Caenorhabditis elegans: one gene and its partner. The protein of the gene in region 1 purifies or fractionates together with the protein of each later gene. This does not show direct contact. Each region holds a gene or a part of one and is shown on either strand. Other genes may lie near its edges. The genes, in order: lpr-4 and nmad-1.

What was found.
Region 2: the proteins of lpr-4 (region 1) and nmad-1 fractionate together in Caenorhabditis elegans (co-fractionation; one large-scale study listed by BioGRID). This does not show direct contact.

The regions. Positions count from the first base shown.
Region 1 is NC_003284.9:11,062,982-11,067,454, reverse strand, and holds lpr-4 (Lipocalin domain-containing protein), read right to left. Parts: upstream 2,330-4,473; 5' UTR 2,268-2,329; coding exon 2,154-2,267; intron 2,106-2,153; coding exon 1,968-2,105; intron 1,894-1,967; coding exon 1,488-1,893; intron 1,416-1,487; coding exon 1,248-1,415; intron 1,200-1,247; coding exon 1,041-1,199; intron 993-1,040; coding exon 895-992; 3' UTR 644-894; downstream 1-643. Other genes in the region: lpr-5 (Lipocalin domain-containing protein), read right to left, coding at 3,255-3,395, 3,453-3,715, 3,765-4,155, 4,202-4,327, 4,375-4,473.
Region 2 is NC_003281.10:5,552,891-5,556,930, forward strand, and holds nmad-1 (DNA N6-methyl adenine demethylase), read right to left. Parts: upstream 2,045-4,040; 5' UTR 2,027-2,044; coding exon 1,910-2,026; intron 1,839-1,909; coding exon 1,754-1,838; intron 1,707-1,753; coding exon 1,549-1,706; intron 1,504-1,548; coding exon 1,274-1,503; coding exon of another isoform or gene 1,237-1,273; intron 965-1,236; coding exon 679-964; 3' UTR 599-678; downstream 1-598. Other genes in the region: hach-1 (3-hydroxyisobutyryl-CoA hydrolase, mitochondrial), read left to right, coding at 2,564-2,617, 2,694-3,086, 3,139-3,512, 3,711-3,931, 3,982-4,040. UniProt on the Caenorhabditis elegans protein: Dioxygenase that specifically demethylates DNA methylated on the 6th position of adenine (N(6)-methyladenosine) DNA. N(6)-methyladenosine (m6A) DNA is involved in epigenetic transgenerational inheritance.

The DNA of each region.
Region 1 (4,473 bases):
TAATCCACTGAGAAGCGCAATGCGCAACACAGTCGCCTTTGGTCGACAAGATTTGGGAAAGATGACCTGGATATTTGAAAAATGTTGCTTGCACTTTTCCAAAGAGGCTTTCCTCTTTATCTCTCAAAATAACTGGCACGTAGGAAGCATCTTCTGTGAGTCGGTGATAAAGTTTAAATGGATGTTGTGAATCTTGAAAACTGTTTGTTCAAACCTCAGGTATAAAACCAAGACATTTGTAATCCAAAAGCTTAAACAGTTAATTGCGGAACACAAATTCAAATCCCTGAAGTTTTATTATTTAAGGTTCAAACTTCCAGAGTAGGGAGCAGTTTCTGTAAATAATTTTAGTTTGTAGGAATGATGAAATTAGAAAAATAATGAGCAATTGTTGACTTGTTTAAATTTTAACAGATTATGTTACTCAAAACGGTAGATCATTCTGAATAATTGTCTAGCTATTTCACATCTGAAATATTAATCGGTTTCCGATGGCCCCGCTCCACTACTATGTTGGCATTTTTGTAAACTTCATTTACCTTTTTTAAACTGCCTTCGGAGTGTTTAGTTTACAGTTTCTATGTAACTAAAAAGAAGCTGTTTATTTAATTTTAAAATATATACACTTGCTGAGGATCAACGGTTTAATATCAAATAGTTTATTATTGTCAAACTGAGGATCAGGATTTCATAGAATCCGTTATTAATGAGGCACAAGGAAAGGGAAAAATTACAAGTTATTATAACTAACTTCTTGTTGTTATTAGTTTCATTATTATAATTATTATTATTACAAAATCTGTCTACACACAGAATGGAATGTTTGGGGAGAAACAATTAATTGATGGAGGATACCCGACAGCGAGATGACAGTCGTACGGCGCTTGCAAGCAATTACTTTCCGGTTCCAGAGAAAGTTGGAGTGTACTGACAGGCTTCATAGTCAACTGGAGAGATCATGTTGAAGGCCTTGGTCATGACGTTGATGTAGTCTAAATATTAAAATTATTAAATAAAAAAGCTCTACCATGTTAACTCACTGTTCTGTTGCAAGAATTCGAGGACATTCTTCATGTGCAGCTTTCTGAAGCGTTCTGGGTCACGAGCAATGACAAAGACTGGATATCTGACCCAGGTAGAAACGATGGCGTAGTCGTATTGCTTGTACTCATTGAGTGGTCCCATCTTGATAACCCAGACTGAGCATATTTCACAACTATCAATTATGTAGTTAGTTTATAACTTACAAGGCTCGGCATCAGCAGAATTGGAGTTGTGAAGAACGAATTGTCCAGTTTCTCCAGATTTGAATCCGTATCCGAGAGCATATCTTGGGGATCCATTTGGATTTCCTTCTCTGTAGAACTTGAGGATGGTGAAGGAAGCAGAGTATGTGTTGTTCGTAAGGGCTCCGACTGAAAATTGAACATTGGCAAGATGGTTTAAAAAAAGTGTTTTAGTTAAGACATATATAATCTGCTACTTACAGTGTGACACGGTGCAGGCCTCACGGATGACATGTGGAGAGTTGATAACTTGGAACCATCTTCCCATCATTCTAGCGGTATCTACATTTTCAGCAGTTGGGTGAACAGCTCTGAACACATCCTTTGCGATATTTTTTGCAGTATCCTTTGGAAGAATTCTGCTGATTGAAGATCCTAGAAGAGTGTTTGCTGGTGGAATCATTTGTGGGAAAAGTTGTCCGACAAGGTAGTTAAAATTGCTAAGTCCTGGAATAGTGTTGACTCCTGGAATAACTGGTGCGTCCTGTGGTCCTGGGAATCCTGGTACTGGGATTGGAGCAAGTCCTGGGATTTGTCCAGAGGTGATTCCTTGAAGGTCAACACGATTAGCATTAGCCTCTTCAATAACTTGGTTGACATCGTCACTCTAAACGTCAGATTTTTTTTTAATTTCAGAAACGAGAAGAATATTTCATTCAGCAGATTTACATAGATACTCACTCCAAAGAAAGAACTTGGCACTGGGGCACGACGAATATCCTTTTCATCTCTGGTACTGAATCCAAGTTTATCCAAAATTGATTCAGCCACCTCTCCAACTTTCACAAGAGCTTTGTCGTCAGTTCCTGGTGGTCCAATCTGAAATTGAGCACTCTCAAATAACTGAAAAAAATACAAAATGTTTACCTTTGCAGTTGGGTCGATTCCAGCGGGCAGGCTATCGAATGTTGGTGCATCTGGTGCAGCGAGGAAAACTCCTCCAATTACGCAGGCGAAAACAACCGCCGTCAGCCGTTGCATCGTTAGAACTTCCAAGTGTGGGCTTTCTCAATGGGCTGTATCGTCCGGGTGAGATATATGTTGACCTCAAAATGTCCAGCGTCGATAGGCTTTCACTCTCGTTACGTGCCAATTTTCGCTTCTTCTTTTGCGTCTCTTCATGCAAGATTCACTGGACTGTATCCGCGAATCATTGCGACAGTCACCACTTTCACTTGACCGATATTCGCTTTTCCCCGTACCCCTTTCTAATCCTCTGGATTGAATTACTCTGATAGAGATAGAGAGATACTCTCAGAAATAGGAATGATGAAGATAAATGTGACAGGCAAACACTGTTCCAGAGTTTGACCTGACCTAATTGAAAAATGAGTAAATTGATACAAGAAAATAAGAAGAAACCCCTTTCTCAATAAGTCAAAATCGGCATTTTTCGTAAACCAAAGTTTTAAGTTCTAAAAAATGACTTTTCTGAATAATTTTATAACATGGTTGTAAGAATGATCTGGGCCGAGAAATTGAGAATATTCATTAATTGTATTTAATCCTTTATGATCAATTATAGAAACATCAACTCTGATTTTTCGACGATGCCATTTTTGTTAAGAATTGCGCATCCGTTTAATAATTGTACTTCTTTCTTCATTACTAAAGAAATGTTAAAAATAGATAGTTTAAAAAATTTATTAACTGCATATTATCAACATTATTAGGACAAGTGTGAAAGACGTAGAAAAAATATAACCGAAATTATAAAAAGGAATAAATTATTCGAAATTCTATATACAACAAGGAATGCACGAGCCCACGGCCTGATTTTTTGTGTAGTTTCTAAATGAAAATTAAAGAAAAATGCTTTGGATTGTAAACTAAGACTTAAAAAGATGAGGTAATCACCCGAGGGTTGAAAGAGAAGAAAGGGCAATGAGAACGGGATGATGGATGGAAAAAAACCATATTAAAAATTATTAGGAGTTATTAGAAATTATTAAGATGGTGGCGAGTAAACTATCTTCCTTGGTTGTAGAAAAGATGTGGTGGGAAGATGCACATAGTGTTGTCGACTGGAGCAACAACATTAAGCAGGCGAGAGATTCCATTCACAATTCCGCTCTTGTCCAGGAACTCATTGACAACTGGTTCGTATTTCTAAAATAATATCAGTTGAATTATCACAACATAATCACTGTTAATTAATTTTCATACCTGCTTGAAAATGCTAGTATCTCTTGCAAATACATAGACTGGATAGTTGCAGTTGGTGGACATGACAACATATTCATATTCTCCCTGATGATTCAATGGTCCAACGCTAAGAATGTGCACAGTCACATCTTCTTTGTTGGAATTTGTTCTGAAGATGAGTTCTCCCTTTCCTTTCACCAAGGCATATCCAGAAGAGATTATTGGCTTTCCATATGGAGTTCCATCAGTTGTGTACTCATAGACATCTACGATTGATCCGGTGGCTGAAAAACAACTAGTTAAAACTGATTAAAATCTATTAATGCACGTTACCTTCTCCATTATCACTAAGTTTTTTGTAAGAAACCATGCTGCAAGGGCCAGTAGATACTGGTGGAGAGTAGATAACTTGGTACCATTGTCCCATAAGAGGATCGAGTTCAAATTCAACCGGGATTGGTTTTTGTGTGCATAGTGGAGAGTTTGGCTTGATGATAAGATCTTGAATCATTTCAAGATTGCTGCTGATGGCGGCAGATTGAGCTGGGGTAAGGACAATTGAGCCATTTTCACTCTTCTCAATTTCAGTTCCATTGGACTCGAGTGAACCACTGGAAAGAGTCTTGAAAAGCATATCAGTCAGAATGTTGCTACCAGGTTTTGGGAATGGACTGTTTTCTCCCGAAAGGAGGTTGGATACAGCCTTTCCGATAGTGTTCTTTTCCTAAATTAACTCGATTAAGATGGTTAAAAAGAATATGAAATCTTACTGGAGCGGTTCCGTTCCCATTTTTGGCGTTCTCCTTAGCTTTCTTTCCTCCGAGCTTGATAAGATTGAAAATAGTTCCAATCAATCCACCTCCAGACGAGTTTGAGTCTTCGGAAAGACCTCCATACTAAAAGATAAAAATAAATGTTCGAGAACGCTGCGAAAAAAATTTACCTCTTCTGTATTAAGTTCATCTGATTTAGAATCAATTGAGTGCGAGACTTCAGATACTGAAGATGGAGAGCGACGAACTTCTGAAGTTGGAAGGAATCC
Region 2 (4,040 bases), on another chromosome or scaffold:
TAGACGTGCGTCTTCATTGGGTTACTGTAACTTTCTGAAAATCTTTTGATAACTACCGTAACTCTTTAAAGGCGCAAGTCTCTTTTCATTATTTTAACTAAAATTCAAAGCTAAAAATCGGTTTTTTTATAAACGGATTAATTGACAGATTAAAATATTCCTAATGAACGCAAGAAAATAACAGCCACGTGGGTTCTGAAAAATTGCAAACCAAGCAATTTTTGATTCCAAGGTAAACAAATTGTCAGCGAACTCTCTCTCTTTCTTTCAATAACCTCGTGACGAGTCTTCCAAACTACAGGTAAATAATCGAGATGGCTATCTAAATTATACGGTTTTCTTTCTTCTTTGTTGGAATTTAATTTCAAATTTTTTAGGTTCAGGGTCACACGTGTGCCTACAGGAAAACTGTAATGTAGTCTATCTGACAGGTGTCCATCCCAATCAATCATTAAATGAATGCTCTCCGAGCCGTTCACTCCTTATCTTATCTCGATCACATGGCTCTCTGTGACGTCACATGTTGTTTTCCCAATTCGGTTTTCAGCCGATTCATTCCATAATTACTTTGCACCTGAACGAGAAACGAACAAAGAATAAAAATTAAAACTTCTTCAATTAAAAAGTTGGTTGAACAAGGAGAAGAATGACAAAACAGACAGAAAAAAGGAATTATCATCACACGGAAGTTTTCGAAAGTGGTACTCGAATGTTGCCCAGGCGAATTAGCTCGGCACCGTATTTCTCATACAATTCCCCTCCCTCAGCGAAATCTTTGGCCGCCTCTCGCATCGTCAACGCTATTCTTCGTCCACGGATGTGGTGAGCGAGAACTCCGTGCTTCCAATCATATCTACATTCATCGGCCATACAGAGAAGAGAACGATGAGGCATATGGACGTAGCATAAGAACGATTTATTATCGTTGGATAGAGTCATCACGGATCCATTGATTAGGTTGATGCTGAAAAATTGATTGGATTCTTCAAAGTTCTTTAAATTTTGGAAATTAAAAAAAAATGAAATGGGGACAAACAGTATTTAAATTTATTATTCTCGAGGCAAGGCATTTTTTTGAACACAGTTTTTGAGAAAAATCAAATACTCTGAAGTTTTCAGATCTTAAAAAAAATTTTTTTTTTTGTAGATTACTGTCAATGGGAATTTCGTTTTAAAATATTCGCGTTTTTTTTGCAAAAATAAAAATTTTTTGTCGAATTTCTGCCGAAAATAATATTAATTAAACAGTACTTTTTTAAAAAGGAATTCATACCTTATCAATCGATTTCCCCAAATCCACATATCATCCTGATGCATCTCAATGGCACTTTTCTTCACTTCCTCATACTCCAAATTGCACATTTCGAATGGCTGATAATTTCCGAGTTTCTTCACGTCGTATTCACTCATCTTATTGAGCAACATGTCTGCGTACTCTGGCATTCCGACAAATGTGTCCGTTTTTACCTTTTTATGCTTGAAATTCACTTTCGGTCCGTAGTCCTGAACTTTTAAAATTATGTTTTTTTTATTAAATGATTTTCTTACTTGCTTTCTTCGACCACTTTGTGACTGTGCCCATTCAACTGTGTCTATCATATTGAGAATTTTAGATTCTTCAGATTCTGACAGAAAATTGTGAATGAGAGTGAGCCCGTCAATTTCGATGGAGCCGTCTGTAGATACGGATTGGCACGAGGTGGATTCTAGAAATTTCATTTTTAGTTGAAAACTCATTATATGTAATAAAAACCATCAATGATATCCTCCAATGAAGACTGAGAGTTCAGATTTGTCGTTGGAATTGCGATTTGACGAATGTGATCGTAAATGAAGACCTGAAATTTGGAATTTTGTATTCGGTTCAATTGTTTTTTTTTAAAGATTATTTAAAATGAAATATGCATACTTTGTAGTTAACATGCTTATCCTCCACCACGCGAAGCTTTTTCACACGTTCCGTTGTCTCACAAAGTGCACAAAATCGAGCTCCCTTGCAGCCACACGCTTGTTCTGCGGAACCCATGTCGAGAAGTGTTGTTTTCTGGAATTTCGTAATATTTCTAAACATTTTCAGAGTGAAAGGATAATAAAAATGAATTGAACATTTATTTTTTAAAATTACCACATGAAAAATGATACAACTTCTTTAATTTTCCAACAAAAAATCTTAAAAATATAAAAAAAAATTGTCTACTGAAAAAATCTCTGCCTGCCAAACTGTGCGCGGGGCACTTGCGCAAAAAGCGCGCGCACATTGCGTTTCACTCATTAAGCACCGCCCATTTAGTTTTTTCTTTCGGCGGAAAACCCTAATTTGATCAATTTTAATTATTTTTACAAGTTATTCATCGATTCTTTAACGGAATTTGCGTGAAAATGAAAGTTAAATTATTGATTGATTAGTCTATTCCTCAAATTTCCCTATTTTCTTGTTTTGTGCTCAAAGTGCAAGCTTCTTTTTGTGATCAGTGATGTTTTCCCTTTATAACCTCGCGGAACAAGACCACTTTTCTCGTTTTCGTAAACTATTCTTCATTTTATTAAGCCAATTTTCAGAGACATGGCTGCCACTGTCCGAAACTTGCCCGCACTCTTCCGCGGACTTCATTCGAAGGTTTCATTTTTCACAAATTTTGACTAACATTTTATTTTTCTATCAAATTTTCTGTTCTAAACTCAGAAATTTCCAGGAAGTCTGCCAGAAGATGTCGTTCTCCGTGAGCGCCGCCGCCAAGTCGGAAATCCTTGTCGACACACACGGATCGAAGAAGGTGGTTACATTGAATAGGCCTAAAGCGCTAAACGCGTTGAACCTCGAAATGGTACGAGAGTTTTATCCCAAACTTCAAGCCTGGAATTCATCTTCCGATGTGGATCTTGTCATTTTGAAAGGATCCGGTGATAAGGCGTTCTGTGCTGGAGGAGATGTTCTTGCCGTTGTGCGATCTTTCAAAGATTCGGAGAGTGGAAAAGAGTGCACAATGCACAAGGATTTCTTCCGCGAGGAGTACATTTTAAATCATTTAATTGGAACTTTGAATAAGCAATACGTTTGTCTGATTGATGGAATTGTGATGGGAGGAGTAAGTTATCTGCAACTATTTTCTTTTCAATTTTTTAAAAAACTTGTTTCAGGGTTGTGGTCTTTCTGTAAATGGACGTTTCCGAGTTGCCACTGAGAAAACAATGCTAGCAATGCCAGAAACCGCACTTGGACTCTTCCCAGACGTCGGTGGATCCTATTTCCTTTCAAGGCTCAAGGGAAACCTCGGAATGTACTTGGCACTCACTGGATATCGTCTTCTAGGTGCTGACGCTTTCCATGCTGGTCTTGCCACTCATTTTGTGGAGTCTTCGGAACTTGCGAAATTGGAAAAGGAACTTGTGAATATTAAGGATGTGACAGAGAACTCTGTCGATGAAGTCATCAGATCGTTCGAGCCAAAGAAGATTCCAGAATTCAGTCTGTCCAAGAATTTGGCTCAAATTAGAGATTCCTTCAAAGCAAAGTAAGATATTTTGTCACCAAGATCACGTGTATTTGAGTTGGAACAAATTAAAAAGTAGCATTTCATCGAATTGATTTATTATTGTTTCTCAGATAATATTAGTTTTAAGCAAAAACTAGGAAAGGGCCAGTTTTGAGGATTCGATAGCACACAAAAAATTACATTTGCCTAAGATATATAAAATAATTGATTTTTCAGAAGCGTCGAAGAAATCCTCGCAAGCCTCGAAAAAGACGGATCCGACTGGGCAAAGAAGCAAGCAGCCACTCTAGGAAAAATGAGCCCAACTTCCCTGAAAGTAACTCACCGACAAATCACCGAAGGAAGCAAGATGAGCTATGCAAAGATCTTCACAATGGAGTATCGTCTCACTCAACGATTCCTCGCCGATAAGGATTTCCATGAAGGGTGCCGAGCCAGTGAGCAGAGATTTTGTAGGGTTTCATTGAAAATTTGACTCATTTTTCAGTTCTCGTTGACAAGGATCGCAAGCCAAAGTGGAATCCAGCGACGTTGGCTGATGTGAAG